Caenorhabditis elegans: one gene and its partner. The protein of the gene in region 2 purifies or fractionates together with the protein of the main gene of each other region. This does not show direct contact. Each region holds a gene or a part of one and is shown on either strand. Other genes may lie near its edges.

Region 1 (16,509 bases), on a different chromosome or scaffold from region 2:
TTGGCTTATGCTGGTAGCAAGACTTGATTAAAAGGGTTTTTGGTACTTGTGTATTACATGCCCTCATTTTAATAGTAATTTTTTTATGTTATGCGAAATAAAAACGTGAACCACACTTTTGTATTTTTAGGCTTAGAAAATAGCAATTTCTAAGCCTAAAAAGGGAACATGTATATCACGTTTAATTTAAATGGAGAAATTAATGAACATTAAATTTGATTTAAAAATGAGGGCATGTAATACACAAGTACCGGGTTTTTTTTATTAAAATGTTTACCTTTATTTTAGAAATTCAGAAATCAATGTGTTTCAAATTATTTAAATGCAACAGACAAAAATTGAAAAAAACACACACACATCAAGACGGTGAGGGCGGTATTGAAATTACTGCAACAGTTGTCTGCCGTTTTTTGAACTTTGTTATTAAAGTGGAAGACGTCCAATTTGCCGATAGTGGCTTCCGATTAGCTCTTGCTTGAGCTTTTAACCGTGACTGAAAATGGACGTCCCAATTTTCCATGGCAATATGAAACTGATCATCGAGAGGGACATCTTGACTAGCCATCATATCTTTGTGAATTCGGTCTTGCCTCTTTTTTCCTAACCATAGTTCGACAAGTATAAGGGAAGTAAACATGAAAGGCATGTGAGGCATTATCTGGAAATAAAAAAGTTTAGCAGATTTGAACAGTTTTAGGTTTATTACAAATTTAACACTGAAATCAATAATTGTACATTTTCCCTGTTGTTTAACAACTTACAAACAGATTCGCAGCAATTATTTCATACCAGTTTGGCGGTAAATAATCTTTGTATAACCGGAAAACGGAAACAATGAAGATGTATACCCCAATCGTAACGTTCGACAATATTAGTAACGGAGTCACTTGCTTCAATGTTTTCACATTCTCATTACGCTGGAACTGTTCTGACAAGGAAGTAGAGCCGTGTTTATCGATGTTTCTGAATAACAATTGTTACATAAGGCTCAGAGGGGTTTGGACTTACTTGTTGTATCGATATAAGACCAGGTGAACTATTGAAATAACAGCATCTAATAGGAGTTGAACAAAGAACATTACATATACGCGAGAACCGATAGACTTGGAAGCGGAAAATGTAAGACATGTCGTTATCATTTCTTCTCCATCTTCTGGTAGCAAAAGTATAAAAATTGCAGTGGCAGCTACGGCAACCTGGAAAAGTTCAACGAGTTAAAAATGTCAAAAAGGTGTTGTGGTATCAAATTTGCAATTTCCAAAAACTAATTTAAAAAATATAAGCTCTCAGCGTTTTCTCTCTTACTAGGGAATGACCAGAATAAGTGGAGCGATATTCAAAAAAAAAATTGTATCGGAAAGCTGACATTCTCTACTATAAGAATATGACTGAAATTTTTGCCCATTCTGATTCTGATGCCGTATCAAGACGTTTTACCAAATCGATATTGGAAAAGCACCTTGTTTTTGAGACTCCATATCTCTGCAGGGAAAATCGCACCAAAAAGTGATCAACTGAAAACTTGTTAAACACAATGTGATCTGAAACTTTTCAGTTGAACACTTTCTTGTAAAAAATTTGGTTGCCAAGATATAGACCTTTAACTATTTAGAATATTCAAAAATAATGAAGCTCAAATCAATTGGTCCCAACTCGGCAACCAAATTTTTTAAAGAAAGTGTTTTACTGAAAAGTTTCAGATCACATTATGTTTAACAAGTTTCTAGTTGATCACTTTTTAGTGCGATTTTTTCCTGCAGAGATATGGAGTCTCAAAGACAAGGTGTTTTTCCAATATCGATTTGGTAAAACGTCTTGATACGGCATCAGAATCAGTGATTCGGTCATTGAAAACAATGAAAAATAAGTTATTTGTGACACTCTACATTATTTCATACATTTTTGAAAAAATTTCAAAAAAAATTTTTGGATCAAATTTTCTCATGGGTTTGATGGAGAAAAAAGTGGCAATTTTCTAAAAAATAAAAATTTCTGAAAAGTTTCCAGCCCGAATGGGCAAAAATTTCAGTCATATTCTTATAGTAGAGAATGTCAGCTTTCCGATACAATATTTTTTTTTGAATATCGCTCCACTTATTCTGGTCATTCCCTAGTTAGAGGAATTTTGACTATTCCAATGATTATGAAATGTAAACAGTTTAAGAAATTCTCACCGCAACAATTGCTAAAATAGTTCCGAGTGCTCTTCCCTGTCGCTCATAATTTTTGACACTGTAAGTTGCCCATGATCTTTCCAGCAAAATTCCAGCGTGACTTGTAGTCACCAAACAAAATGCAAATCTAAGAATCAAGGTTTTGATTGATAGCTTTTTTTTACATCACGTACAGAAAAGTTCCGCGAATTTTGGAACAAAAGTAGGTTTTTAGAAGCAAGTCGCAAGGAGATGGCTTGATCATAAGATTAAGGAAAAAGTTGGTTGCGCTCCAAGCTGTGAGTCCTCCGAGCAGCAGACAAGATACCACGTTGAGCATCATCAGGAACTGAAATTAATAAGTTAGTATAAACTATTATGAAAAAAAAAATTTCTTTAAAAAGTATCACTTACTACTAGATTTGGATGATAATAAACTTTAAAAGCATACTTTTTGAGTATGATAAATAAAATAGGAAACGTTAGATAACCTGAGGTACCTTGAAAAATAATAGCAAATAAATACGCTGGATGATAATATAATTGACCTCTCGTCTCGCATCCCTCCATTGCTGAAACTTTACAATTCAGTTGCAATAGAACAAAGGTACTTAGAGCTCAAATCAGAACTAAAAGGTAATTTTGATCACGTCAACAGCTCCTAAAAAAGAAAATTAATTGAATGAAGTCGACGTGCTTAATCTTGAATATCTACCGCCGAACATGCACTTTTATCTGCAGAAGCTCTTAAAATCTCACCTGGATCGGTGTAGCGACTAGTCACGTTTTCCATCACCGACTGGAATTTCAAGAAGTGTCTTGGACTATTCACGTGTACACCCAAAGCTAAATGTACAATTTTTTGGGAATATAAATTAAGAATAAGGGTATAAACAATGCGGCATGAAAACATTCGTCATTTCAAATATTAAAATGTTAAAATGTTAAGATAATAGTTAGTTTGCAGTGAGGCGAATTTCGTTTTTGAAAAAATGATGTTGTGAAGAATTTTAGAACACCATTCAACAAGAGAGAAGTAACTATAATAATACGTTAACTTTTACATTTGCAATAAAAACTTATTTATCTAAACATGTCAAAAACTGAAATTCGAAATGTGAAAGTTAAGGAATGGACTGCCCAATTTATAGAGGTATACGGTAATTGTTAACTATCAATTTAATTCACAATTTGTAAACTTTGAAGTGTTAACAAAGGCGTTGTTGAAAAAACTAGATTTGTGAGTACTTTAACACTATTTCAACCACATTTTTACATTGATCAGCTAAACATTTTATCTGGCCTGAAATTTAAATGTTGAGACATAAAATTGCCACTTGCAATATGCAATTAAAATTTGCTTCCCATTTTGTGAAACATGGAGAACCGCCACATAATTTTTTCCGTCGACGTACTTGTGCCAGGTGTATTTAACAATTTTTGTGTTGTGAGGTGTTAAACCAGAAATGTCGATTCGATAGTCCAAATCAGATTTGTTAAACAGAATGGTTGCCCCTTTAAAAAAAGGTTTGTTCTCCCACGTTTTTTTTGGACGCTGCACATTGTGCTTGCGCCTAATGACTAATGTAAGAATTGTACTAACCTATGATAGAAATTCATGGGAGAAGCACTTGTCATGGGAGTTTTAACACATTCAAATGATGTTTGGAACATTTTTAGTTGTTGATATTTTAAAACCGTTTTTCCGTCTTACAGTCTTCGAGCTTCCAGTAAACACGAAAATTTTAAAAAAATCGTGAGCTTAAATTTCAGTGTATGAAAATATAGCTACAGGTTTTAAGATGGCGCATCTCATGAAAAAATTGAAAAATATTGAATTTCAGTAACTTGGAAATATTCTGTCTCCTTAAAAATAAATTTAAATTCACATGTTTTAATTATTTTTTAAATAACGAGCACACTCATTTCCAAGTAAAAATCGTTCTTATTTTAAACAAATTCAAAGGGGCGGAAACCGGAAATTAAATGGTAGAAAAACTTAAAAAAGATTCGGAAATTACAGTTACAGTTTCAAGTAATCTTGTTGGCTCTAACAATCCTACGGGTCTATTTCTCAATGGAAAATAGTCTTGCCAGATCCATATTTACCTTGATTTCTGATATTATTCAAATGATCAAAACAGCAAAACAAAATTAAAATCTGACAAGTGTCAGTAGTCAATCAGTGGACAATAATATTTTCTTAATGTTCTCTATGTTGTCTATGGTTCCATGAACCAGCAACAATTTAAAATTGCAATAAATAGTGTGTTATGAAAATTTGATTAAATTCTGCCCGATATATTTAGGGTAGCAAAAAAGAAATAATAACATATGTGGTCAGTGAAAGTTCTAAATGGGTAATTTCTGGGATGTACTGACTACTAGAAGAAAGCGGGTGATTTTTCAATACAGGAAAACAGAATGCACATTGTGCTTTATGTTTAATGTCATGGAGAAAAAAGTAAAATATTTACAATCAGATATTCTAAAGAAGTGAATTCAATCTATAATATACTGAATGGTTTTTTCTAGCCCCTTTCTTTTTAATTCATTATACCTAGATCAATTTCCGGAGTGAATGTTTTTCACTGTATATCAGAGTTTTTGAAGTGACTATAAAAATAGTTGCGCTTGTGATAAACATATTTTTGAAGACGGTGAAACCAATGTGGTATCTGAATCTACTAACAGATTCCAATTGAAAATCAGAAAGATTAATCAAATCTTGTTTTGGGAAAGTCTCTTTTATACGTAGTATGCCACCTTCACAACAAAGAAAGTTGAGAATTCCTCATCATGGGTTTTATTGGAATTCAAGAAAATATTTTTCGAAGTCTTCTTGAGACTTGTACAATAAACAGATCAATAAAAAATTGCCCAATCTAAAATTTTAGTGACATCAATTTATGAATTTTTTTCTACTCATATTAACTGGGTATGTTTTCTGAATTATCAGTTTGCTTTCAAATTTTCTAAATTTTGTAAAAATTGATGTTTGGATAAGACAACTTACGTGGGAAAACATTCAGAAACTATGAAAAGTTTTGTCTTGAATGACGGGCTTGGGAATTTACCTGGTACATTTGAGTTATCTGATAGTGAGAACAAGTGTAGCTAAAAACTTTGTTGATGAATCATTATGTTTTTTTTTGTAAAACAGCTAACGTAAAATTGAACTAACAAAAGCAGAGACAATTAAAGCGTATCAGGTAATTACTTTTGATCAACACTAAAATATTTACAATAAAATGCAAATAAAAAAGTTTGAAAATGAAATTATTTGGCTAATGTACTTAAATTATTTAACTAAAACAGTTTGAGGCTTCATTATAAAAAACCTTTTTTTCAATTTTGTTTCGAATTTGAGATTTTATTGATAGAGTGAGAATACAATATACTATTGCATTGTTGGTAGCCATTGAAAAATCTGATTCATGAAACATTGCGAGTTTGAAAAGTACCTAAAATACGTTCAGGATTAATAAAATAAATGTTGTCTAAGTTGTTAATTGTCATAAAATATGGAAACAATATGTACGTTTAACGCGTGGTTTCGTGATTTGAAAAAAAAACATCTGCAATTTTGTAATCATCTTGAACTAGTTCTTATTCTGCATTCCTGCAAAACAGGGTCAAAAACTAATACTTCGGTTTTTCATCTAACTCTAGCAATTTGAGTTAATTTTGATGCAGCTGAGGTGCTAACCCCCAACTTAACAGACTTTGCCCATCTTCAGCAATTTTTGCGATTGGCAACTTCAAAGTTGCTAAAGTTGGTAGAGAAATTACCGCAAAGCACAAAATTTTATACTACAAGAGTACATTTTGAATACCACATCACTACGGTAAGAAAATTCAATCTTTGAAAAATACCTAAATTTGATCTCAATCAAAAATACAAATATTCAAAGATTTCATAGAGGCACATTAAACGTGATTGGGTCACAAATGAGACGTGTATCAAAATTGCTACCACTTTTCTACTAAAAAAAAACCAAACAAAAAGGGAAAGCTCACCTTTCACGATGAGATATTTTATCAGTAAGAATCTTTCATATACAGTTGATGGGGTATAGACACGTTTTTTTTTTAAATTTTACACTTTCCAAAGTTTATGGTTGGTTGAACTTTTCACTTTGACATCTAATAAGTGTAAAACAGAACGCCTGGGGTTTTGCACAAAATTCGTATTTATGTACCGATGTTTATTCATGTATGATTCATGTATGATGTATGATTCTGAATCCGATGAGACATAGCTCAATTTTGTCGAAGACGGTAAAAAACCCGTAGGCTACAACATTTAAAAGAAGGATTTAGTTTTTGAGCTGCCGAAACTTCACAAATTAGCTGGAACATCAATTCAGAAATACACAGAAAAACTACTTACCATCTCCAATATCGAAGGTGCTCATTAATGTAGCTTCAATATTCGACACAAATCACGCTGGGAAACCAAGAATTCCAATTTTCCGGCTGTTGAACTTTTTGTTGATCTCCTAGCAGATGTTTTAACTGGAAAATTGCCTATAAACATTTGTTGTATACTTGTTACAAATCACACAAACTGAAAAAAAAACCAGAAGTTTCCACGCACTTGTAATATGAATATTGAAATCAATTGTTTTTTAATGCATCAAGAAACTTTTTTAGCAGCTTGCACACAAATAAATGAAATTCAAATTTAAAAGAAAAGCTGATCGTAAATAAAATGAAGTAAATAAATATAAAAATACTTTTTATTGTTGAGCGCTATTTTTTCTTAGATTGATTTTTTGATCTTACTCGAGCGACATTGAAATGTTCATACTTTTAAGCTAAAAGGATTATTACCCGTTTGTGCGATTTCTGGTCAGATCAGATAAACCAGACAAAGTTTTACTTGTCACAAAATGATAGATGATAAAACTTTAAAAAAAAATAATGAAACGCTTAAAAATAAAAAAATAAAAATCACACGCGCAAACTATTTGGTGATAGCAAATCGAAACATACAAACAAGCAAAATTAGTAATTGTGCTTAGATGCTGCTGGGTTCAGCTGCAATTTTAAATTCAGCAGAACGAACAAAATCTATTTCTGTAATGCCAATCAAATATTCTTAAAGCATTAAAATATCCGTACAATCACCCATATAGTCAATCTTTTCTTAATTCCAGAGTTTTTTTAAATTTTTTTTTTTAAGTTTTTTTTTTAATTTGACATCCGCGCACTTCTTTTTGAAATGTCTAGTTCCACTGTTATAGAATGACTTCACATTAACACCAAGAATCGGCTCTGCTCACTAGACCAGAAATAACTGCGTCAAAGAAACATAACATGAAGGTGGCAAAACACCTGCTTCAATACTTGAAACGTTTCTTGAGGAAGTTCGAAAATGGTTTCTTGAAAAGAGTAATTATTTTCCAATAGGTAAAATATTTGAATAAAATTTTTAAATAGCAATTTGGAATCCATTTCAAAAAGACAACTGTTAATATCGACTTCAACCTGAAAATGGAGAAATTAATTACACTTGAAAATGCTTTAAAATCATCATATATCATAGAATATTGAAATCAAACATGCTTTATATTATATTAAAGAGCGTAATATTGCAAATATTATTTGCAGTTAAAAGGAGTTATCAAGGCCATGCATCGCTGAAAATCTAGCGTATTACAAGTATTACAAGTACAGGAGAACAGATTGAAAATAAAAAGTACAAGCGTTTAACGGGAAAAGATCAAAATGAAATTATTCTTCGGAACTGTAATCTTTTCGGCAAGACGGAGGTTCGAACTGTTTGCAAGCTGAAAATTCAATATGTTATAAACTATGAATTTATATTTAAATTCTCGAAAAAAATTCTGACTAAGCGTTCAGTTTCATGGTAATAAAACCGAGATTAACTTTAAAAAAAAATCTCCTTACCCTCTCCAGATATTTGATATCCTTGAGGCCATGTTCCGGATCTTCAGCTTTCAGATTTGTATGAAATGCGATGTTTGATTGTGGTGAAATGTGTCCATCCTCTGCATATGGTCCATAAGTCATGAGGATTCCGTTCGTCTCGTGAAGAAGCAAGTCGGCAGACTGTAAAAAAGGTTAAATTAGTTCAGAAGTGTTTGAATTTGATGTGATAAAATTTGTTTTTATTTCAAAATTATTTGCAACTTGAAGAAAAAATTCAGTCCCATTGAAATTTATCCTACTATTTTTGAAATTCGTATTTCACCTTTGACATTTATCAAAAAAAAAAACTTACTTGAAAAAGGCCTTTAACTGCAGCCGTGGAGCAAATGTGAATCATGTTGATATTGAGAACAATGTCGACCTGAAAAAAAACGAAGTTATTTTCCAATATAGTCTGGAAACAATTTACCATATGAGGTCCGAAATCCGCAGGAAGAGCCCATTGATTGAATGGTTTTGCAACGTCGATGAAGAGGGGGATGCGGACGTTTGGAAACTGAAAAATATTACTTTATGGTTACAAAAACATAAAGTTGAGTTTTCATAAAAAGTTGTAAAAAAAGAGAAATCAAAAATTAGTTTAGAATTATTGTTCACCCCAACAGTCTGGAGTGTGGTTTTTTGTTAAAACATTCTGTCAATTGCTGGCAATTAAAATTTTTTAAAGGTTTTTCAACAGGAGTGTGGAAAAATGCAGTCATTTTAATTCAAGTATTATCTCTTTTTTGCTATTGTGAAAAGTGGAAATTTGGGCAGGGCAACTAACTGCTGACTAACCTGACTTTGATCCAAATAAGAAACGATGGAATGGAGGTATCGACCATTAACTTCAGTCGGTTGAAAAGTGACATCCGGCAGAGCCCGTGCAAAATGTTCCATATGCTGTCCAGTTCCAGAAGCTAGCTCGAACACCTGAAAAAAAAAAATATATATATATCGTTAATGTTTTCATTTTAAAAAAATGTGAAACACATTTTTTAAAAACTTACTTTCTTTCCAGATGTTGCGAATCTTCTCAACACCTCCAAAATCACATCCTTGTTCGATTCGGCAGCTGGCGCTCTCAACATCACCAATCGCTGCAACTACGTTCAATTGTTATTTGATTCAAAATGTGAAACAGTCAGTGGTAAAAGAGAAAGGTACGCGCGCGCACTTTTTATAGGGTTTATAACAGTTTGAGATAGATGCTAACCAGAATGAAGAGACTGGTAAGAGAGAAAACAAAAAAAAACAACAGAAGATTGGAATACCAGAAATCGATAGTTGTTGTTTGTGTGGGAAAAAAGGAGGAATGGCAAGTGTTATGCATGGGAAGAAGAGCGAACGAACGGCAAAAAGTTAAGTACAGTGTAAATGCGCAAAAGGCAGATTAAAAGAGGAATAGCAAAAAAAAACGGTTAAAAGAGAGAAAAAAGAAACTAAAAAGAGATTTTGTTTACAAAACTGTGAAAAAAATGAGAGTGCAAAAGTTACACGTGTCCTGCCAGCCAAAGCGAGCTGCAAGCCTTGCCACGTATAAGGCCAGAGAAAGTAGGGCATCAATGTTTTGTTTTGTTTTTCGTGAAATTTTTGTTTTTCTTAATAATTTTCAACTTTTAGAAGTATTTTAAAAGGTTTCAAATATTAAATGGAAACTAATTCAGCTGAAAATTTTAGTAATAAGACAAAAATTAAAAGAGCGCGTTTTCTGCGAGTTTTTTTAGATCTTGCTTTTTTATATACTTTAATTTGAACCTAAATATTTTTATCAATTTCCTAGAAAAATCAAATCTCGACATTATATAGTAAAACAAAACTCAAAACGAATATATAAAATTTCAAAAGAAAAAATCAAATTCATCTGAAATCAGCACTCGCAGAACGCTGAAATTAATTTGTTCTAATTATAAACTTATTAGGCATATTTCTATTTTTACTTCTTGTTTTTTAATCGATTTAGGCACATGTTAAGCCGGTTGGCATACTATAGGTGGTACATATTTGGTTGTTTGAGGCCATTTTTGTTATACCACAGTATTAACCCATAAATGTTACTTTGCGGTAAATGTATCACGCTTTAGATTTTTTTACTACTGAAAATGCATGACGAAAACCAATCTACAAAAAGTGTACCAAAGTTTATTGTTTCATCAACATGAATGACTGGATAATAGATTTGCTTGGGAATTGGAGATTTGACAAAACAAAACAATAACTTAGAAGTGGAATGAGCTGTGTGAAAAAAAAACCGGGTTGGAGTCTAATAGTTTTTGAGATGAACAAGAATTAGTGACAACAAATATTACAAAAAACTGTTATAAAAAACTATAGAAAAATTGTTATATAGAAAATTTTAGGGAATGTAAGAAATAAATAATTTTCTCATAAAAGTAGATTAGTTGGTTTCATTTTCGCTAAGAATCATGTTAATTAGTCTCGTGAAAAACGTATTCGGTTATTTCTCCATGTGGCATTTGTGATGAGTTGAGCTCACTGATAAACTCCAAATACCCCTTTCGGAAGGAAGTCTTCGGCCGATGACGTCTACCAAAGGGTGTTTGGAAGATGGTGAATTGTTTCAGAATTACCCATCTACCAACTTCTCGGTGTCCATTATCCCAATCACGAAGAGCTTTTCGGAATGTGTCGATATTGTTGAGAGCACAATTGATGTTGACAAAATGCTTCGCAGAAAAGAGCCGTTCTCCGTGATCCCTGTTGAGAGTGTCGCGGATGGATATGGTTTTGATCTGAAAATTTGTATTGCTTCTACATAACACTTGTTTATTTTAAATTTATTTTTAAATTAAAATGTAGAGTATTTTCAGTAGGGAAATTATTTAAATCAGCTCATGAAGTACTAAATTGCCTTGATGTAATTGTAAAAAATTATTTTTAAAAACTTGAAAGTTTGCAATTATGGTCAAAAAAATTGGAAGTCGGCCAAAAAAAATCTATACTTTTAAAATTGAATTGCGTCTCAGTTATTGCATTTAAAACTTTTAGGGGATATTGGAATTTTTATTAACTTATTGCATGATCCTACTTTTTTGGAACGCTCTTTAAACCATAACACGAAAAATTCAAATTTTCTCAAATTCTAAGTACAACTCACATCTGGGAACGGAATGAAGTCGTCAGTTAGTGCGTTCACTTCAATCTCCACAACTTCTTTGTCAAACATTTCCACCATCATTTTCAAATTCTCCGTGTACTCGAAACCCTTGACAATGATTCTTTTAAATGTTCTGGATCCAACGAAGTTGTGCACAGCTTCACAGTATTCCGGTTCGAAATCATCAGTGGTGACAATTTTTAAAATAGTTGTGTTACGCAGCAGCTGGGTTTTCTTCTTCTCGTTGACTTCGGATTGATTCAAGCATTTTTCAGAGTCTGGATCGCTTTCATTTTCTTGTTGATTTTTCTCCAATATCCATCGGACATTCATCTCGCCACTGGAGAAGTCAAGAATCAAAATGACATCTGGGAGCACCATTTTCAGACTATTCTGTCGGTAAATGTTATTGGCAGCACTGCACGTGATTGCTAGACTTTGAGCGTCTTTGTAAGCCGACTGAAAATTTTTTTTAATCTTAGGAATCATCCGGTTGGAAGTGCATCTGCTCAAAAAGTGTTTAACGTTGTTTTTTTGAAAAGGAGAGATTCAGATTTTTTTATTTTTAGAAGTATTTTCCCAGAATTGAAAACTTACTCGTTGCATGATCTGCTCTATCATCTCCGGAGGAAGTTTTAAGAGATCGAACAATTTCACATCATCTTGCTCGATGTGCTTGGTTTCCACATTTTTACTTTTCGGCCGGAAGAAGTTGTCACGAGAGATCAGATGAGAGAACACATTCATTTTTGTAAGCCTAAGATGCTCTGCCATCGTAAAGTCGCAGAGATGAATAGCATCAGTGAGAAATGTGAATCCACCAACTCTCAACGCACTGCTGCATTTTTCCGTTAGAGTTTCACCTTGAAGTTGCTCAATTAGGCACCTATAACGTGTGGGCCCGTTGAATATTGAACGGATTTCTTCAACGGTCCATGTATTGAGAAGGATCTCCATGTCCTCCTTCATACGGTTCATTTCATTGTTGACACGATCTTTTGCATCGGGGAAGAATGGAACGGCCCGAAACAATTCCAGGATGTCTAGGTCGGCCATGTTCTTTTTCTGAAAAATTGAATGTTAGAACATATTGAACGCTCGTTAATAGTAAAGAAAAGTTTATTGGAAGTACATATATTTGCATGTAAGTGGGATTTCTACGTGTTTCATTCTAGTTCACTCTCAGTAATTTTTAAAATAAATGTAGAGGGATATATGTGTATGTACTATGTGTATTGTTTAAGACTAAACTGGAACTTTCTTACACGCCAGAAAAGCTAAGACCAGCCACACAAAAACAGCTAATAATGTAATATGAAAACCTCATAAAAATGTTCATCAATAGCATATTCTACTAACTTGTGTTTTCATGCGACCAGTAGAAAAAGAAACAGGAGAATATGGAGTAGACATAAAATTTTTAATAATTATAGGCATTGAGAATAAACCAAAAGTTGAATAATTTTTTTAACCTGAGTTCAGAAATTTAACTATCATGTGATTATGATAGTGAGAGTATTTAATTTCATTCCGTTCACTGGACATCAGAAAAAAGAGAAAAAGCCAAACGAATACTATAACAAAAGGACAAATTTAGAACTACTCTGAAATGTCACAAGGACAAGTGCAATAAAATAATTAATATGTATATTTTGTCATTTTTAAATTGACATGCTATAGGCTAAAAAATGAAACGGAGAAATGCCAGCAGCGGAAAAATTTAGTTCAAGAAGCCAGCGTCCAATTCAATTTCCCGAATTCATTATTCTCCGAGGGAGAAAAAAATTAAAGCCAGAAAAAAAAAACGAGAAGGGCGCGAGCACTGAGCACACGAAGTTAATGGAATAGCGAGAGAGATCTAGAGAGAAAGATAAGCAACGGTGCAATGCAGTGGCTGGCTCCGAATCAGGCTTCACATTCACACAGAGAGCCCTTCGTGCCAGGCAGTGCTAGCCAGCTTTTCTGGAAAAGTAGATGACGAGGGCATGGCGAGGACAGTTGAAAAGAGAAAAACAGAAAAAATAGAGCCGGCAGCTTAGTCAGTGAGTTTTTTTTTTTTTGATAGAAAAGAGTATTGGACTTGATGATCTGGTGCTTAATAAATGTATCATTAGGTAAAAATTTGTTATAAGAATAAATTTTAATAAATGTGACTTTCTTGGCATGCTGATTTTAGCATGTTTTCACAACATCAGTAATAATTAGGCAAAGCCTATATCTATCGTTTTGATGAAGTGGTTTAAAACTTACATAATCATTATGTTAGGAAATACTTACAATTGAAATGAAATGAAGGACACAATATGCTTACCTATAGTCGTTCTAGAGGTCGTCCCTCTATTTTTTTTTTCACAAATACTTACTTGTAATTCTGAATAAGTTTCGCTGTTTTATCTATTTTCCAAACGTTGTTATCACGGTTTGACCTTGTTGCTATAATTTCTTGTCACCCTGTATAATACATACAACCTAAAAAAGAGTTTTCACATAAAGAACGCATAAAACATATTTTGAGGAACAGATCAATAGGATGTCGCAGTTTCTCGTCTACAAGATCTCTTCGAAAACGAAGAGAAACGACGGAAATGCACAAAAAAGTGGCTCAAGTGGTGAAGAGTGCATATCGAGGTGCGCGGACCTTTCAAAGTGCAACCGAGCGCTTTTGCAGCTACATTGAGTGACGTGTGAACTCGAAGACGAGGAACTAAGAAAAGTTGATTTCTTTGTGGCCGCATTCGCTTGAAGTTTTTGATAATATTTGTTATAGATTTCAATTAACATGCTTTGGTAGATCAGGTGCTACTTATCTTCAGAATGATAGTGCATTAGACAAACTCAGTTTTAAATAATGTTTGGCAAGTTACATACTCCTGAAATGAAGAATGTCATTTTCCCATCAAAAATTTATGTATTTGAAAAATCACATGGAGAAAGAATTCACGCCGGGAAATGGACTTACAGTGGGAAACAGTGAGAAACAGGGTCAGAAATGGCAAACAATTTTTGAAAACAATCACGGTCAAGATATTGAAATCAATAGTTCGAGTGAAATAAATAAAATAATGTTAAGCTTCGGGTTGATATGAAACAAAGTACAGGGAAAAAGTGACAAGTATTTGGATATTTGGAATTCACTCACAAGAGATCGTGAATCCTGTATGAAATGAAAACATGAAATGACAAAATTTGGATTGTGAGAGAATATAAATTACACTGAAGAAATGATGTCACAGATGAACTTTGGGAAGAGATGGCGAAAAATATTGCAAGGAATAAACGTGATAAGTTATGTAAATTACAACCATAGAAAAAAGAGAAGTACCAAGACGAATAACTGTTGGCGTATTGAACTCCTATTTGTATTTGAATGAGAAGAGTGTTTAATGAATATAATTCAAGACTTGAATGATTGGTAGTATGGATATTGAAAACAAATCAAATGATTCCGAGTTGCAAGAATTCCTCAGCCTGTACCACCGCATTGATGTCTTCTTCATCGTCCTCAATTTCTTCGGCCTCTCCCTCAAGCGGAACTTGACCACGGATAGGATCAATGCAGTGAACTCTTCTCAGCTGAATGATGCGAGCAAGACGCGGGCTGTTTTTCAGCTCTTCAATACAGGCAAGCATTTTGTCCATGAACAAGCCAATAAGTTTGGTAACCTCAGTTCGATGGCTGCGATACTTCACCAAATGCTTCTCAATGGTTTCTTCCAAGTACTTGTTCTTTTCCAATTGCTGCTCTTCAACGGTATCCTTGCGAAATTCGTACCAAGTCCCATGGCGTCTGTTTTGAGTTTCCTGAAGCTCGTCCTGATCGGATTTACAAACGAATAATTTTAGTTCAACTTACAAAGTCTGTAGGTCCATCTTCAATGCAATCTTGGATGGAGTCAAAGTGAGCGGTGTGCTTCGAAATAATTTCGCCGAGTCCGTCTTCTTTCGTGAGTTCTAGAAACTGCTCGAAATGTGCCATAACGGTCTTTTCGATCTTATTGGCATGAATCTGGAATTAGTTGAAAATTGAAGGATGCTAGAGAGTTTGTCAGCTCTTATGCACTTATATATAGACACAAAAACCCACTTGATACACATCTCTTTGCATGTTTGGCATACATGCACCAAGCAAATGCTCGGCACAAGTTATGCAACCTGCACACTCCATGTGTTCCAATCTTTCCGGATTGACTCTTGCCTCAAAATATTCGAGTTCAAGTCTCTCTCTCAACTTGTACAACTGTTGACGAAGGCTGTAGGTGCTGGACAAGAAATGGTGGTATTCCATATCTTTCTAAAATCAAAAAATTAGAAAGCTATTAAGTAAATAAAAAAAAAATCATTCGGGAAAAAATAATCACCATAATTTTGCATGCTCCTTTGCTTGCAGCGCAGGTATCCAAGTGGTTAAGAAATGCAACATTGTGGACGCTACTCTTGCAAATCCCGCACATGAATGATTCTGGAAAGTTAGACATTGATATTGCACTCCTTCATTCAAATTCAACTCACGTCTTTGCTCTCTTCTAGCCACCCGAATGTAATTCTCTGGTGCTAAGTGACGGGCCATCCTTGCCAGATTTTGATTCGCAAGTTGTGCATCATGTGGGTCCAAGGCGATCAATCGTGGAAATAAATTGGCAAACTCAAGGACTTGGGGATCTTGGCGAACATCACGTCGATTTGGAACTTCTTCATCATCGAAATCAATGCCATTGATCTCATCCAAAGCCTCGAGAACTGCAGCATCAGGTTGTAGCGCTGGAAATAAATTAACTGTTTTTTTTAGTTTTCAAACATAAATTTTTATTAGAAACCCCATTTTTTGTTCTTCGGGCGTTCAGATGGTTGAGGTAAATTTTGAATAACTCCTCAAATATTGGCATTCAAAACTAAATTGATCTAACTCATTGTGCAAGATTACGCACCTCTTCCAAAGCCGAGGACATTTCTTATAGCATTTCCAACCATATCAATAATATTACCCTGTCTCGCATTGTTAGCTCTAGCTAGAGCTTCACGTGCCCGAGCACGTCCAAGTTGTGCGCGTCCAGCAGCAGGGCCACCACGTTCACGTGCAGCCTGAGCGCCACGATCCGCTTGAAGTCTTCTGTTAGCTCTTGCTCTCTCGAACATCTCACGATGACGACGTGCATGATTTCTCAAATTATGATTACGAGCTTGAGGAATATCGGCAGCCTGATCGCGCAATTCTTCTTCATTAGCCTGCTCTTCTGGATTGTTTGCAACAGGCAGCATATCTGAAAAATTCAAGTTTGTGAGAGAATCAAGAAGTTGCTCAAG
Region 2 (15,715 bases):
AAAAACAATCAATCCTGTGCATATTGAATCTCATCATACAATTGGAGGTTAGATTTCTTTTTTTACATTGTGTTAAAAATAACTTTTATTGTACTTTTCAGACATTTTCCGATCAATTACACATCTTAGTTTTGGGCGACAAAACTTTCCGAAGAAGAACAATCATAACGAGTTTGATTTATTTGGAGAAGAGGTTTTCATTTATAAAGTTTATCTTGAGTTTTATTCAAAATATCAAAATAATTCACCTGTGATGATTTAAACATTGCAGAATCAAAAAAGCATTAACGATGATCCAGATTTTATAGAAAATGTGAGACTATTTTTCCTTGCTCTTTCGATCTATAACTTTGGGTTGGATAACATATTCAGTTGTTAAAAACAGACTAATTGGTATTAGATAAAATATAGTTTAAAATAAATGCCAGGATTATTTATCAAAATTATTTGACTTACAGCTTATTAACAACGTTATTGTTATATTGGTCATGCTTGAAATTACAATACAATTTTCAGCGTACTGAATGGGAGGATATGATGCTCAATCAAAAGCTGGATTTGAGCCAACTTGATATTGATTCTACGCCATTCCAACTCAGTGAATATACGAGTTTATTCAAGGTTGGTTTTAAAGTTTTATCAATTCAAACATTCAGTATTTTTCAGGCTCATTCTCTATTCTCACTTCTTGGTCTAAATCGTGCATACGTGACGAAAAAAGGGCAATTGATTGGCGTTGTCGCATTAAAAGAGGTTTGCTTTTTAATTTCTCGAAAAAAATAGGCCCCCGCACCACGTCGATGGAAAAGTGTCGAATTTCGAAAAAAGAAGCAACGCATCCCCACTTTTCATCGGTCTAGAAACTTTAGATTATTCTCGTTACAGCTCCGACTTGCAATTGAATATTTACAATCTGGAAAAGTGCCAACACCTGGTATGAGCATTTTCAATGAGCCTCCAACGGAACAATCGATTTATGAGAAAAGTGCAAGACTAGAATCAGGACGAGCAACAGGCGATGCGCAGAATGCAGCCTTTGTGACAGACAATGGGGAAGATGATGCTCAAAATGATTATATTCAAGTGAGAAATTACAAAATTCAATATTTTTTCAATTTATGTCATTTCTTTTAATTTTAATCTTTTTTCAGCCACCTCTAGAAGTGGTAAGACGAGGGGCGTTAACCCCGAACCGAATGAGCGAATTGACAAGATTGGAGAATGTGAGAACAACACCAGAATCACCACATTTCGAAGTTAGTTCACCATCGACGAGCTCATCGTGTGTGAGCATAGATTTCTCACCATTGGATGCAGCGAATTCGGAAAATGGAAGTGTTGGAGGACTTGTATTGAATGTACCCTCCTTACCCACACGAGCAAGATCAGCAAATGAGTGAGTTTTACATAATGAAGAAAGTTGTTCTAGTGCTCATCCAGTTTCAGGCTAACACGACAAAATACCCACGTGCAAATAAATTTACCTGACGACGTTCATGACGAAAAATTCTGAGCAGGTGCCGTTCCTCTTGTGTCCCCTTGTTCATTCAACATACACCTAATCCAATATAATGCATATACCAGATTGAATTTTGTATCTCACACATTTTACGGGTATTTCAATTACTTTAAGTTTCACACCACAATTCTTCTTCTCCTCTTCCTCATCTCGTCTCAATTTTTCGCTTATTTTCTGATCGGGTCTTGTGTTGCACTTCCAACGTGTAAAAGTACGCATGTAAGAGGATACATTTTGCCGCCATTTTTGCGGGGACACTTTTCCCATTTCTTTCCCCCAGTTTAGCTCATCCCGTATTTTCAATTCCCATATATTTTATTTTTTTTGTTCATTTTCTTCAAGTCATAATAATTTTGTATTAAGTTTCCCCCCGGTTTCGTCCCCAAATTTTCTGTATTTATGTGTGAAGTTATATATATATATATATATATAGAAAAGAGTAAAGATTTTTATTGTTATGGAAGTGACTGGAAAAAATATATGCTGGTTGGAAGAACGTCAGCTGCAAAAAAAGAAAGAGCGCGAGAATTTTCGATGATTGTTGTTGTTTTTGGTATGGACTAATTTCCAGCTGACGAATTACTGATGAGCCGGAAAACCCAACAGGCTTTTGAATATACAATGGACTTTAGAGTAAGATTGATTGCATGGTTGGAATTTTTTTTTTTGCGAACTATTGTAAACTTAAAAGCTTCTAATTTACACATATCAGTTGTTCAAGAAAGTTCAATTTACCGTTGCATTTCAAAATTTTGAGAATACAAGTAATATTTTAGAACAATAAAAAATAGCACACAGTGGTGCCTGTAGGTAAGATGTGTAAATAAAAAAAAAGGTATTTTCAAAGACATGAACAAATTCCCGTAAACTGATTACAATCGGACAATTTCAAATTTATTGAATCTAAATAAAATATTAATACATTCTTTAAAAACATTGGCATTTATTTGTTTTACATCGTTTCTTGTACGCGTTTACATATAATTGAAAGTTCTGAAGTATTTTGTCTCCAAAAAAGATTTCAACAGAATCCTTAAGCTTTCTTGGATAGTATAAAGCAACTGTTAATATAACAACAACTTGTTGTCCTTTTTCTAAAAAAGTAGTATATTTATCCATAAAAAGGCTGACCAATTTTACGCGCACATATACCTTTACCTCTTCTGCTCTTCTCTCTAACACGTTCCGCCGTCTCTACCGCGTCTCCAAAGAGCAACACAAAAACTGGGCGGGGCTTTTGCTCTTTCACGCCACGTTGTGCTCCGCCGGCTCCCTTCCCGCCATCCTGCTCACTTATTTTTCGGTTCTTTCCATCTGAGTCCATCATCATCATCTTCTTCTTCAGTTTTGTTCCTTCTGTTCGTTGAAGGACCAGGTTTTAATCGCCCAGTTTCAGTTGAAAAGTTCAGTTTGTTTTCCAGGAAAAATACAAAATTAACCCAATCGTCATGGAACGTGAATTACGCCTCAAGGCGTTTATGGAAGAATATGCAAGAATTGTTCAGTTATTCGATGATATAGTTTCAATGAAGGTTTGAATTCTTTTTAATTTCACAAAAATTCAGAACAAAATTTTCAGGAATCAATGGGACGTCTTGAAAAATATATGATCATCATGGTGTGTCAAGTTCTTGTTGCTCTTATGGTGAGTTTAATGAAACTAATAATAATAATAATAATAGAGGTTTTGTCATCTAATATGTATGAAAGTGAATCAAGAATCTTAGAAAAAGGACTACGTTGAACTTTTGAAAATGCCTTCTATTAAGAATACAAACTCCTTTGTAACAATTTTCAAAATCTAGAGTAGTTAACTAGTTAATTGAAACTTGGACATGAAGCTTTAATTGAACAAAAGTAGTTGTTTAATTATTGAGATGCTAAAAATGGAGGAATTTTCTGCCCAACTTCGCCAACTTACTGTCAAACTTCTTGTTTGTTTCAACCACTTTTCTAACGTTTTGCAACTTCTCAGTAACAACGTGAAGTGTTAATAGTTTGTCAGATTGTTAGCACACTGTTGTCTTCAAATGTGAAATTCTTATCTATTTTCGAGGACACTGAAAAGTTGCAAAAACAAACGAGACTTCATGAATTTTGCAGTTTAAATTTTTTTCAATCCCTCGATGTTCTAACAAATATTTATAATCTTTGTCTTCTTATAGTCCAAATTTTTCCCAAAAATAACTCGGAAAGTGTAGTAATAAAACAAGTTGATATACGCGGAAATTGCGTCGGCTCGTTTCCGTAGCTTCTATTCTCATTCTTCTCACGCTTTACTCAATTCGTTCACCTACATCTGTTTTCTGTTGCATTTGATTTTTATTTTCAATTTTTTGCACACATTTTTTGACATCCGGAACCCACTTTCTTAATAATGTGTTTTTGTTCCTCACTTCATGATGATATAAGGCTCGTCGCTGGCGTTTCGAGAATTTGAAAAACGTACTAAATGGATCAAGGGCCGTCGGTGTGCTTCATGTGTGGCATAATTGGCACCTTGAGGCTCTCTTGATTGACTTGACACCATGGTGATACTAATTATAGGAAGGAGAGACCCTCTCCTATCACTTGCATTTCTTTGTTTTCAAAAAAAGAAAACTATAGTAGAAAAATGTGAAGAAAAAGTCGAAGAAGGACCACCTAGAAGAAGTCGTACATTAGGACCAAGCAACCGCACTTTTGATGACGGTGTTCACTCGAGTAGAAAACATTAAGCAATTGAAAATGACGGATTTGTTACGCCCCTCTTCAACTTATTCCTGATTCCATCTTTTATTTTAGGATACTTTGCAATTTGATTTGGGGAATGTTTGTAGAAAAGCATACACATAAATAAAGAGCTTCGGCAATTGGAAAGGAAGTTTAGCCTTCGAAAGTGAAAATATTGTCCAATTTTATTATGTTTTTTTAATTAAAATTGTACAACTTAGATTATATACTATGAAGAATATCATGCTTTGCCAAGATTGAACTAATTGAGTAAATCAAATGTGCACTCTGAATTAGTATAGTTGACAGCATCAGATCTTCTGCATATACACATTTGAGGTGTCAGTCAAATGTGTAATAATTTTTTTTGAAACTTCGTTTTCTTTATTCTTTTTCTTTTTCTTTTTTTCAAAATTTATTTCCCAATTGTCGAGCCAACAATCAAATTATGCCACAATCTCTGAGCATCAGCTGACAATTAATCATTTTGTGGTCGCTCTTGACACATCTTCCCCGCCGAAATATGTTTCTTCATTCATTGTATAACTTATAACAGGTGTCTTATTCTATTGCATTCCAACAACATTAGAAATGTAAAACCTAGTTTGATTAATGACTTGATGCTCCCCTCATCAATCAAGAAGAGAGATTACCAATAAGCTGCCACCATGCCATACACCAATTAATTCATTCTGTTCTTTTCCAGGGAGGAGCCATCTTCATGTGTATTCGGTTTTTTCAAAGCCAGCGACAACGTGGAGAATACGAATTGGAACATCGATTCGAAAGGGGTCCGTCTGGTCGCGTGCCGGTCGCTCAGGCAACCCATCAAAAAATCAACAAGAATCCCATCACGTAACGACTATGAGCCGATTGGCGAGTGTGTAGATGTTATTGAGACTGAGAGAACGGGTTTGGATGGATCGGTTCCTTCATTGGTTTCAGGTACTTTTGAAGTGATAGTTTAAATGTGGGAACAGAACAAATAAGCGTATAAACAAACAAATAATCCAAGTCTGAGAGTGAGAAGAAACGCAAAGTAACACTTATGAATAATAAGAAAGTCATTAGGAAACAATTTTCTCAGAACACAACATTCGTGTAATTCTAAAACACTGTGATATACTGTTTAACTAGGTTCGAGCGGGGAAACTGTGACCTACTGAACAAAACTTTCTAACTTCTTCCAACATTCATTTCAGGACCTTCCACATTTTTACATTTTCCTGCATCACCTGCCCCAACATATTCCTTTCGGGAAGATGATTGTCAGACCGATATTGAAATATCTGAAGATGACGATGATCCAACAATAACCCTATCCAATTGGCGTCATTCATCTCCAACTCTTTCAATTTGTACTCCAATTCTTACTACTCGTCGATCGACTTCTTATTCATCAATACCAACCATCGATCGTACGATTAGCGAAGACTCGATGCTGGTGATTAAACGTTTGTAGTTTTATTTCTTTAAGACAATTTATTTATTCAAAAACTCTTCATTCATTACGGGTAGATAAATTTTCTAGTTTTTCCATTCTATCAACATAGACCCAATGCTTCTTTCCTTTTCTTTTTACCGTACGATTTCCAAAACATTCTGCCAATTTGTCATTTGCTATATATTTCCTCCATAAATGTTTCCCTTTTTTCCTTCATCCCAATCCTTTTTTTTCTGGTAATAATAAATTCCTTTTCTGGGCAAAAAGCAACAAAATGTGAGCCAAAAAAGGCGACTGATGATAGATGGTGATGATTTGAATGTGACTGGAAGGAGGAGAAGAAGACGTCGAAAAAAGCGGCAAGCTAAGAAGAGTGATGGTGTACATGGGACGATGTGGAACAACTAATCCAGGAATGAAATGATAGTCAACCACTGACATGTTATTCACTTGAAAAAATAGTCCCTTAAAGGGAAATGATATGGTGAAGTTTAATAAAATTCCCCAGAATACTCCACTTTCAAAAAGTTTCAGGAAGTCTTATTGGATAATTCAAAATTCCTTCATGGCAAAGTTTTTATATATATTTGTAATGGATTGTGCAAACATGAATATTAACAGTTTTATTTATTTTGTTATCATTTTGTCATAGCCTAGGTCAATCTCGGTAGACGATAGGTTTTCAAAATAATCAAACAAATGCATCTGATTGTTTAACTTTTTGTACGTTTTTCATATACTCTGATGATTCAGATCAATTTGATCTTTTTAGAAGAATGTTCAAAATTTCCACACTTCGAAATCCTGTTTTCACAATTCATTTCATCCATTTTTATGAGTTGGAACGATAAGAAAAGAATCTTAACGATGAAAGTGTCAACTGTTGTTACTGACTCATTCACTTGTTGTGACGGAAACTGATCCGAAGGTCGGAAAATTTTCAAGAATAACACAAAGTTTGTAGAGTATAAAAAGAGCTGAAGAATCTGTAAGGCCTCAGCCTTTGAAACGTTATTCATTTAACTCACAGAACGTATATTTTATATCTGATGTTTAAATTTTTTATTATGCGTTGTAATATTCTGATAATAAGACCGTTTTTTTTTCTAGTCCTAAAAATTATTAGTCGCCTTCAAGTTCGCCTTCAAATTGATTGTTTTAAAACCTGTTTCAATCTTGAGCACACAATCTCGTCTTTTGTGAATTAGAAATAATAATTCATCAAAAATATAGAAGGTGTTTTTGATCAGTTAAAAAAATTCAAAAAAGAAAATTTCCGCTCTATTGATTTCTTACTTTCCATCACAACATAATTCAATTAAGATAGGGACTATAAAAGTTTGCTTGGCCACAAAATGGCATAAATCGGTTTCAGATAAGACACATTCGATTCACCTCTTTTCTTATTTACTAAACTCTTATTAGCGGTAAAGCTAACTACACATACACGTAATTTTTTTGAGGCATAATTATGTATTATCAGTAATTTTTGGAACTCTAAAGTACTCTAATTTATCAATTAAATTATCTTTCCAACTAAAAAACGACATATTAAAAATCGACTAAACATCCTGTAAACTTCACATCTATCAGTAAAAAAAGCTACGCGCCTCAAAACACGACCTTCTCAATCCCATCATTGTGAACTTTCATAGTGTTCTCACATTGATCTTAAGAACAAATAAACTTCCTGATTGTTCCATTTTCAATACTTCTCCAAATGACATTCTTTGAACAGTCTAAGGAAACGAATCCTCATTTTCTAGTTCCGTGTTCCAACTCTGTAGGATTTTTTGTATAACTCTGATAACAAGAAGGATATTTTCTCTCACTCTAGCCAACAAACAAATGATAAAAACAAAGTGATTGATTGCAAAGTGGGCTGGGCGTTTAGTTTAACCAGCGGAGGTGCTTACCCTATTTTTTTCATTCGAAGGCAGTATCTTCTGGCTGACGACACTATTTATTGTTGTTCCAAGAGAAAGGTTTCATCACTTTAAGATTTTGTGCTTTTTCTTTCAATTGTTCTTCTGAATTTCGTGTCAATTCACAAAACTTTTTTCATTCTTGAAAATTAAATAAAATTTCAGAAAATGAACCGCTTCATTCTTTCCGCTTTCCTCCTTGTTGCCATCTTTGCCATATCCGATGCTGCCGTTGCTCAACAGCAGGTTAAGGTTTGTTGTAACTCCTATTTGAAAAATAACAAAAAATCATTTTCAGGACGGAGAAAAAGTTGAAATCGATGCTTTCAAGGGAGCCAAGGCAATCAAGAGAACCGTTGCCGGTGGAGATCAAATCTTCCACCTTGACGGAGATAACAAGGGATCATTTGTTGATGCTAAGGGAAAGAAGATTGAGTCAACCAATTATGAAGCTAATAACGGAATCCTTATCATTAAGAAGTTCACCAAGGCCGATGTTGGAACCTACTCCGAGCACCCAGCTGTAAGTTTTCAGTGGGAGAAATAATTAGAAATGTTTTATTTCAGAAAAACACCGAAACCAAGCACGCTGATGGATCCATCTCCGCTGTTCCAGGACTCACTCTTGATATCTCCCTGCAATAAACAAATTTCATTCGGAATGTGTTCTAATAATTTCTCTAAATAAAATTTTTAAAACAATTTCGTGCAAACTTTGCAAAAATAAACAAAAATGTGAGTCAGAACAGAAATAGGCGTGACCTCTATTCAGTCAACAGGTGACCAATAAATCAAGTCTCATTCGTCACTATTTAATGGGTTCTAGAGATGTTTTCTTTCTTCATTCTTTTTTCTCTCAAAATCATCTGAGAAAACTTTGTTTCAGGAGCTTTTTGAATTGTTTTCAATAAAAGCTTTCCTTAAATTTTTTTTATCATTTTCAGAATGAGCCGGTTTTTGATTTCTTCGTTTATACTGATTGCCTTTGTTCTTCAGTTTGGAGAAGGATCAATTGCAGTTCAAGAAGTTAAGGTTTGTAAAGTTTTTTATCTGACAATAGTTTAAAAACTGTTGTTCATGCTTCTACAGGAAATTTTAAATGTATTTCTCAAAACTACTCGAAACTTCAAAAGTTTTCTTATTTTGAAATACCAAGTAGTATTTTACAAATTCCATTTTAGGATGGCGAAAAAGTGCAAATTGAACTTTTCAAAGGAGCCAAGGCAATCCAGAGATCCGTTGACGCTGGCGAACAGATTTTCCATTTCGAAGGAGAAAACAAAGGAGTGTTTGTGGATGCTAATGGAAAAGCTATTGACTCGTCAAATTATGAAGAGAATAACGGACATTTGGTCATCAAAAAGTTCACAAAAGCTGATGTTGGATCATATTCTGAATATCCAACGGTATTGAATTCCTGAAATTCCCGAATTGAAAAAGTATTAATTTCAGAAAATTATCAAAACGAAAACGGATCATGGATTTTCTGGAGTTGCCGCGCCAGTTCTCAAACTTTCTCTTCAATAACTTTTAAAAACTGTTTCAATAAATTCTTTTAAATAACAATAAATTGTTTGCAATATTTCGTAAAAACCTGTTTGAAGGAATTATTTAACCATTATTTGGAAAAGAAATTTGAATGTAGTAACTGTTTCACGCCCACAAAAAGTTCTGTTAAAATATCTCCAGAGCAAATTCCGCACTGATCTGTTAAATATTTTCTGTAACACTATTTCTATTTTTACTATTTTTTTCGGCTATTTAAAATTAAACCGCAAGACAAATAGGGAAATTAGTGTGATTTTTAATTCCAATAAGGCGAATCTTATAGTAAGTTTTTTTCTTATTCGAAAGTACTACTTTACTGATAAGAAAATGAAAAATCATTCAACTTGCATCGATCATTTTCCTCGTTTCACCTGAAAATATGACATGAATATAGAGATAAATATGTCAATTTAGCTACAGTTTTACCAATATTCATTGAACTTCACATCATAATTTCTCAATATAAAACAGGAAATTCAGAAACTCATCAATTTTTTCATTTTCAGAATGGTTGCTGATGGTAAGAGGAAACGGCAGTTTCATTCAAGAACAAATGCACTAGAAGTAAGCGTTCTTTTAGTATTAAATGTTTCATCAATTTCCTAAATTTAAGTTTTAAAAATTCGATGATGTCCTACTCCCTAGTGTTTTTAATCTGTTTCAAATTCTTGCTATAATTGAATCCGTTTTCAGGTATTGGATGGTATTGACCTTTCTGGTAAAACATTTGCAATTACTGGAACAACATCTGGGATCGGAGTTGAGACTGCTAAAGCATTGATTTTAAAAGGAGCTCACGTTGTAATGATAAACAGGAATTATACAGCATCTGAAGCATCGAAGAAATCTCTCCTAATTGAAACTCCAAATGCTCAAATTGATATTGTTCAATGTGATTTGAATTCACTATCATCTGTGAAGAAGGCAGCAGATGAATACTTAGAACAGAAATGGTAAGCGATAAAGTTGATACATTTAAAAACTTAAAATGATCTAAAGAGTTCCGAAAAACCGAAGTTAGAAATGGAGAAATATTTTGGTGTCTCTATATTCAAATTTTCTCTGAGACAAGACGGGTTTTAATCAGAGATCTAAAATTTTAGTGAAATTTTGAAAACCCATGTTAAGTTATTTCCGTTTTAAACTAATATCCTCCAAACTCATCACTTAAATATTGTATTTTATTAATCCTGCCTCCCTTATCTTTGATCTATTCTTAGGCCACTCCATGGATTAATTTTGAATGCTGGAGTTTTTGGTCCAAGTGAAAAAACAACATCCGATGGATTTGAAGCTCATTTTGGAATCAATCATCTTGCTCATTTTATTGTATGATTTTTTACAAAAAAAACCCGATCTTAACTGAATTATTCTTGCAGTTAATTAAGGAGCTTCTGCCAGTTCTTCGAGAATCAGCACCATCAAGAATTGTAATAGTTACATCAATGCTCAGCAAGCATACATGCGTCAAACCTGATTCCAGAATTGTGGAAAAGCTTGACACACTTTGTCCAAAAGAAGCAACTCAATGGTATTTCCGCCTGTATGCAAAATCAAAAATGTGTAACATTCTAACCGCATTCAAATTGCATCGAGATGAATTTAAAAATAGAATAAGTGTTTATGCAGTTCATCCAGGATCTGGAGTTCGCACAGATCTTCATAGAGATTTTGGTTTATGGAGCATTGCTGACTTTCTATCAATCCCATTTACAAAGAATGCAAGCCAGGGAGCAGCAACAAGTCTTTATTGTGCAGTACATCCTGAAGTGAAAGAACTGTCCGGAAAGTATTGGGAATCGTGTTGGGATGATGAAAAGAATTTGGACAAAAAAGTTTCAAGAGACGAAGAACTTCAAGAAGCTTTATGGGAACATTCAGAAAAACTTATCATGAAGTATTTGGACTCATAAAGTTAGATTTTAATTATCGATAACTTTTCTTGAAACATTGCTCAAAATAAAATTTTATTTATTTTTTCGCCTTTTAGAGAAAAAGAGGAGATATTTACAACTTTAAACTCTTCATATTTCTCTAAGCTAATTTTTTTTAAACTTGAGGTAATATTTTAAATACGAGTCTCGCTATAATAATAAAAATTCAGCCAATTGAAATATAAAAGTTAAAAAAAAAATATATTTCCTATTTAATTATACCTTCGACACCAGTTTCGGGTTCCAAAAAATTGGTACCTGAAACGAAAATTTTCGCTTTCTCAAAATTGCTTACTATCTATTTCATTTTCATCACAAAGTAAGGAGCAAATATTTATGGACTCAATTTATTGAGTTATCAACAAAATACTGATAACCAAAACGTAATGTACATTTTTTTGAGTAAAAAACCATTTCGTTGAAATCTTCTGTTAACAAAGATAAAAATCTTGTCTATTTTTCCATTTCATTTTTTTAAAAGAAAGCAAACCACAAATCATACATGCTTCACGTATCTCTCCGTCTCTTGACTACACACACTCTCTAGTTATTTGCCACCTTTTTGTTCGTGACTTTCTAATCTCTCCATACTATTTTTGAGCATAAAAAGACACTAACTGATTATTTTCCAACATTTTCGTTCTCGCCCCAAAAAATGCCTACCGAAAAAGGGCGAACTAGGAAATTTTACTCAAGAACTTATGCTCTGGAGGTGAGTTTTTTAAAAAGTTTCGGAACAATTTTTTTTCCAATTTTACAGACAATAAAAGGTGTCAACCTAGCTGGAAAAACATTTGTGGTTACTGGAACAACTTCAGGAATTGGAATTGAAACTGCTAGATCGTTGTCTTTAAATGGTGCACATGTTGTTATGCTCAATAGAAACTTGGAAGAATCGGAGAAATTGAAAAAGAAGATTGTTGAAGAGATGAATGATGCCGAAATTGATATTATTGAGTGTGATCTTAATTCGTTGCATTCTGTGAAAAAGGCGGCAGAAGTTTATATTTCAAAGAAATGGTAAGTTTTCAATCATTTTCTGCAGCAAGTTGCTCCAGAGATTTTAAATTCCAACAGTATTTAGTGAACTTATTTCAGGTCGATTCATTGTTTAATCCTAAACGCTGGAGTCTTTGGAACTGCGTCAAAAACTACAGTCGACGGTTTGGAATCACATTTTGCCATCAATCATCTTTCTCATTTTTTGGTAAATCAAAAATTCCAGCAATCTTCTATAAAAAAACATTTTTAAGTTAATCCAAGAACTACTTCCAATTGTTCGACAGTCGATTCCTTCTAGAATTGTTTTGGTATCTTCATCAGTTCATGCAACATGTGGAGTTTCTCCTGAAATGTCTATAGAGGAGAAGTTGAAGATTCTGTGCCCAGAGAGTTCATCAGATGCTTCATGGTTCCGACTATATTCTCGATCAAAAATGTGCAATATGTTGGTTGCATTCAAACTTCACAGAGATGAATATCACAACGGAATCAGCACATATTCAGTTCATCCAGGAAATGGGGTTAGGACGAGCATATTCCGAGATTCATGGCTTGTAAGCATTGCGAGTATTCTATCAACTCCATTTACAAAAAATATAAGTCAAGGAGCATCTACAACAGTTTACTGTGCTGGACACCCAGAAGTTGCAAATGTTTCTGGAAAGTATTGGGATTCAAATTGGGATGATGAGAAAGGTTTATACGAAGAAGTTGCAAGAGATGAACAATTACAAGATGCTTTATGGAAACATTCTGATAAAATATTAGATAATATGTTGAATGATAGGAAAAAGTCATGTCAATTTGAATGCTGATTTACTATTTATTGAATGAAACCATTTATATAAAAATCATGAAGGTCACCATTGAAATTATGATCCTCCGAGGACAAAGTACAGGGTATAATATACATTCCCACGTTTTTAACAGAAAAATGCAGATCATATTTTAATTGAAGCCGGAAGTTGAATTGCTGGTGACTGTGGTGATTCGCTGTTGACGTTTTGGAAGTACCCATTCAATAATTGCCTGTCGGTATGGAACAATGAAATAAAACGAGATGAATGGATCAAGGAGAGCTGGGAATGCAGATGACACTAATATCAGGTGTTCTTGAATTTTGAATTATTTATTTCAAAACACCTCTAGATAATATACTCACCACAAATCAAGAGTTCTCTTCCAGTAGATTGAGTATAAATATAACCAGAAAATGATGGAATGTAGGAAATGAATGGAAGCATTGATTGAACGATTAATCCATGAATTAGAGTTTGTGCTTGTTTTTTAGTTCTTTCCGACATATGACTATGATAACGAATCAAAATTAAAACTTTTCGAGTCAGAATGAGACAGCCGATCGGAATTCCGTATGCACCAATTGATAGGAGAAGGGTGGCTGACAGAAACTGAGGACTTCCAGCATTTGAAAATCCCGAGTACGGATAGTAAATGGACAGGTTATAGGAAGGATGCTCCAGGGCTGTGGATGCCTGGGCAGATTCAAAGTCCCATTTATCAGTAAATGGAATTATCTGAAAGTTTTATATATTTCATAGTTTGGGCTTGCTAGAAGTGAATGTAAAAAAAACAAAAAGTGAAAACCATCACTTTTCATGAAACGCTTAAAGTGAAGTCTTAACGTCTGAAAATTTGACAAATCACGTACCAATACTACAAGTGGGGCAATATAAGATGCCAACACCATTATATACGTTTGATTTGTATGTACTTGATTTTGTACAAGAACGAAAAAACGGAAGAGAACAGTTATAGCAATTGCACTTCCAGCTCCAAAACTTGTGGCCTGGAAATCACTTAATCTGCTGTAAAAATAAATTTAAATTTACCATGAAAACGTGATAATTTATGAAGCACGTTGTCGGGCTAACATAACTGCATGGACCCAATGATAGAACAGCTGCACTGATGCTGTTTGTAAGTAATCTGTGTTGAGATAGGAATGCAAATGTTATCAAAGCAATCTGTACACAAGATGTGTTGTACAAAAAGATTTTGAGACCATCGAGTGTTGCTGGTGATTTATGAGAAATCAAATGGAGTAGAATAGTCTGAAATATGATAGCGAGAACTCCACAGAATGGCCAGTACCAGTTGAAAAATGGCACGTAACAATTGGAGTTTGAGCACATTCCAACTGACGAGTTTTGAGAATGAATTTGAAAAGTATAGAAGCAATTTTTGAAGTTTCATATAGTTCCCACGACATTTCGTCAAAATTCTTAATGCTCAAGAGACTGGAAAGAGTCTTTTCTGAGTTTTGATGCATAATCGAGCAAAGCCTGCTGAAAACTTGAGTATGTTTGAAATACGAAAATCGAAGAAACGAATGAGAAAATTATATCCAGGGTTTGAAATTCAAAACGTTCTCAATTTAAATAATAAAACCGTATTGTCATTGCAGGTGAGAATCAGCTTTATTTCAATAATTACTTCATTAAGGTGAAATTATCGAAACTTCTGTAAGTTAAGCCTACTAAAAGGGGTCCATCTGGCTTTGGAATTTTCGTAGGTCAGACGGCAAAAAATATAGGAATTCACCGCCAACTTCTTGCGTAAGTTCAGAAAAGGTCTTACCCAACTTTGAATGTAGTGATACACTCACCAAACTCTGTCCAGACTTCACCTAAACTTTCGCCCAAGTTTTGGCAGCTTCTGAACCATTCTCTTGAAAATGACCAAATGTCGTGAGAACAATATGAGATTTAAAAAATTGCTGTTATACTTCTCATTTTCATTCTCATTCTCAACATCGTCAGCTGGCTGAAATGTGCTCAAATTCCAATTGTTACGTGTCATTTTTCAACTGGTACTGGCCATTCTGTGGAGTTTCCGCTATAATATTTCAGATTATTCTACTCTATTTGATATCTCATAAATCACCGGCAACACTCGATGGTCTCAAAATCTTTTTGTACAACACATCTTGTGTACAGATTGCTTTGATAACATTTGCATTCCTATCTCAGCATAGATTACTTACAAACAGCAACAGTGCAGCTGTTCTATCATTGGGTCCATGCAGTTATGTTAGCCCAAAATTGTGCTTTATAAATTATCACATTTTCATGGTAAAAAGTATCGTTATTTTAGTCGTTCTTAGAGATTTTCAGGCGACAAACTTCGGAGCTGGATGTGCAATTGCCATAACTGTTCTCTTCCGTTTTTTCGTTCTAGTGCAAAATCAAGTATCTGCAAATCAAACTTATGTAATGGTTTTCGTATCTTACATTGTTCCACTCGTAGTCTTGGTGAGTGAGACTAAACATGTTTCAAACCAATCTTATCTTTCTGTGATCTTTTTTTAATCTAAAACTTTCAGATAATTCCATTTACTGATAAATGGGACTTTGAATCTGCCCGGGCATCCACAGCCCTGGAGCATCCTTCCTATAACCTGTCCATTTACTATCCGTACTCGGGATTTTCAAATGCTGGAAGTCCTCAGTTTCTGTCAGCCACCCTTCTCCTATCAATTGGTGCATACGGAATTCCGATCGGCTGTCTCATTCTGACTCGAAAAGTTTTAATTTTGATTCGTTATCATAGTCATATGTCGGAAAGAACTAAAAAACAAGCACAAACTCTAATTCATGGATTAATCGTTCAA

What was found.
Region 1: the proteins of E04F6.8 (region 2) and Y26E6A.3 fractionate together in Caenorhabditis elegans (co-fractionation; one large-scale study listed by BioGRID). This does not show direct contact.

The regions. Positions count from the first base shown.
Region 1 is NC_003284.9:13,900,706-13,917,214, forward strand, and holds Y26E6A.3 (Methyltransferase-like 26), read right to left. Parts: upstream 9,246-16,509; 5' UTR 9,182-9,245; coding exon 9,101-9,181; intron 9,024-9,100; coding exon 8,889-9,023; intron 8,608-8,888; coding exon 8,521-8,607; intron 8,473-8,520; coding exon 8,404-8,472; intron 8,232-8,403; coding exon 8,070-8,231; intron 7,949-8,069; coding exon 7,868-7,948; 3' UTR 7,666-7,867; downstream 1-7,665. Other genes in the region: sra-39 (Serpentine receptor class alpha-39), read right to left, coding at 359-658, 762-963, 1,009-1,196, 2,175-2,301, 2,348-2,502, 2,568-2,723; Y26E6A.2 (F-box domain-containing protein), read right to left, coding at 10,520-10,843, 11,209-11,667, 11,806-12,264; ekl-5 (E3 ubiquitin-protein ligase), read right to left, coding at 14,644-15,021, 15,062-15,214, 15,293-15,499, 15,567-15,667, 15,718-15,966, 16,191-16,464.
Region 2 is NC_003280.10:7,204,210-7,219,924, reverse strand, and holds E04F6.8 (Cuticle protein), read left to right. Parts: upstream 1-8,544; 5' UTR 8,545-8,545; coding exon 8,546-8,632; intron 8,633-8,781; coding exon 8,782-9,006; intron 9,007-9,052; coding exon 9,053-9,127; 3' UTR 9,128-9,174; downstream 9,175-15,715. Other genes in the region: clh-3 (Chloride channel protein), read left to right, coding at 1-47, 102-193, 272-313, 517-621, 667-753, 886-1,083, 1,152-1,396, 1,441-1,513; E04F6.10 (uncharacterized protein), read left to right, coding at 2,968-3,051, 3,099-3,164, 4,938-5,090; E04F6.9 (Periplasmic protein), read left to right, coding at 7,769-7,852, 7,899-8,123, 8,168-8,245; E04F6.15 (DeHydrogenases, Short chain), read left to right, coding at 9,656-9,712, 9,842-10,101, 10,369-10,477, 10,528-11,061; dhs-7 (NAD(P)-binding protein), read left to right, coding at 11,738-11,794, 11,843-12,102, 12,181-12,289, 12,336-12,899; srd-59 (Serpentine receptor class delta-59), read right to left, coding at 13,033-13,196, 13,247-13,619, 13,754-13,891, 13,935-14,237; srd-58 (Serpentine Receptor, class D (delta)), read left to right, coding at 14,874-15,176, 15,219-15,356, 15,428-15,715.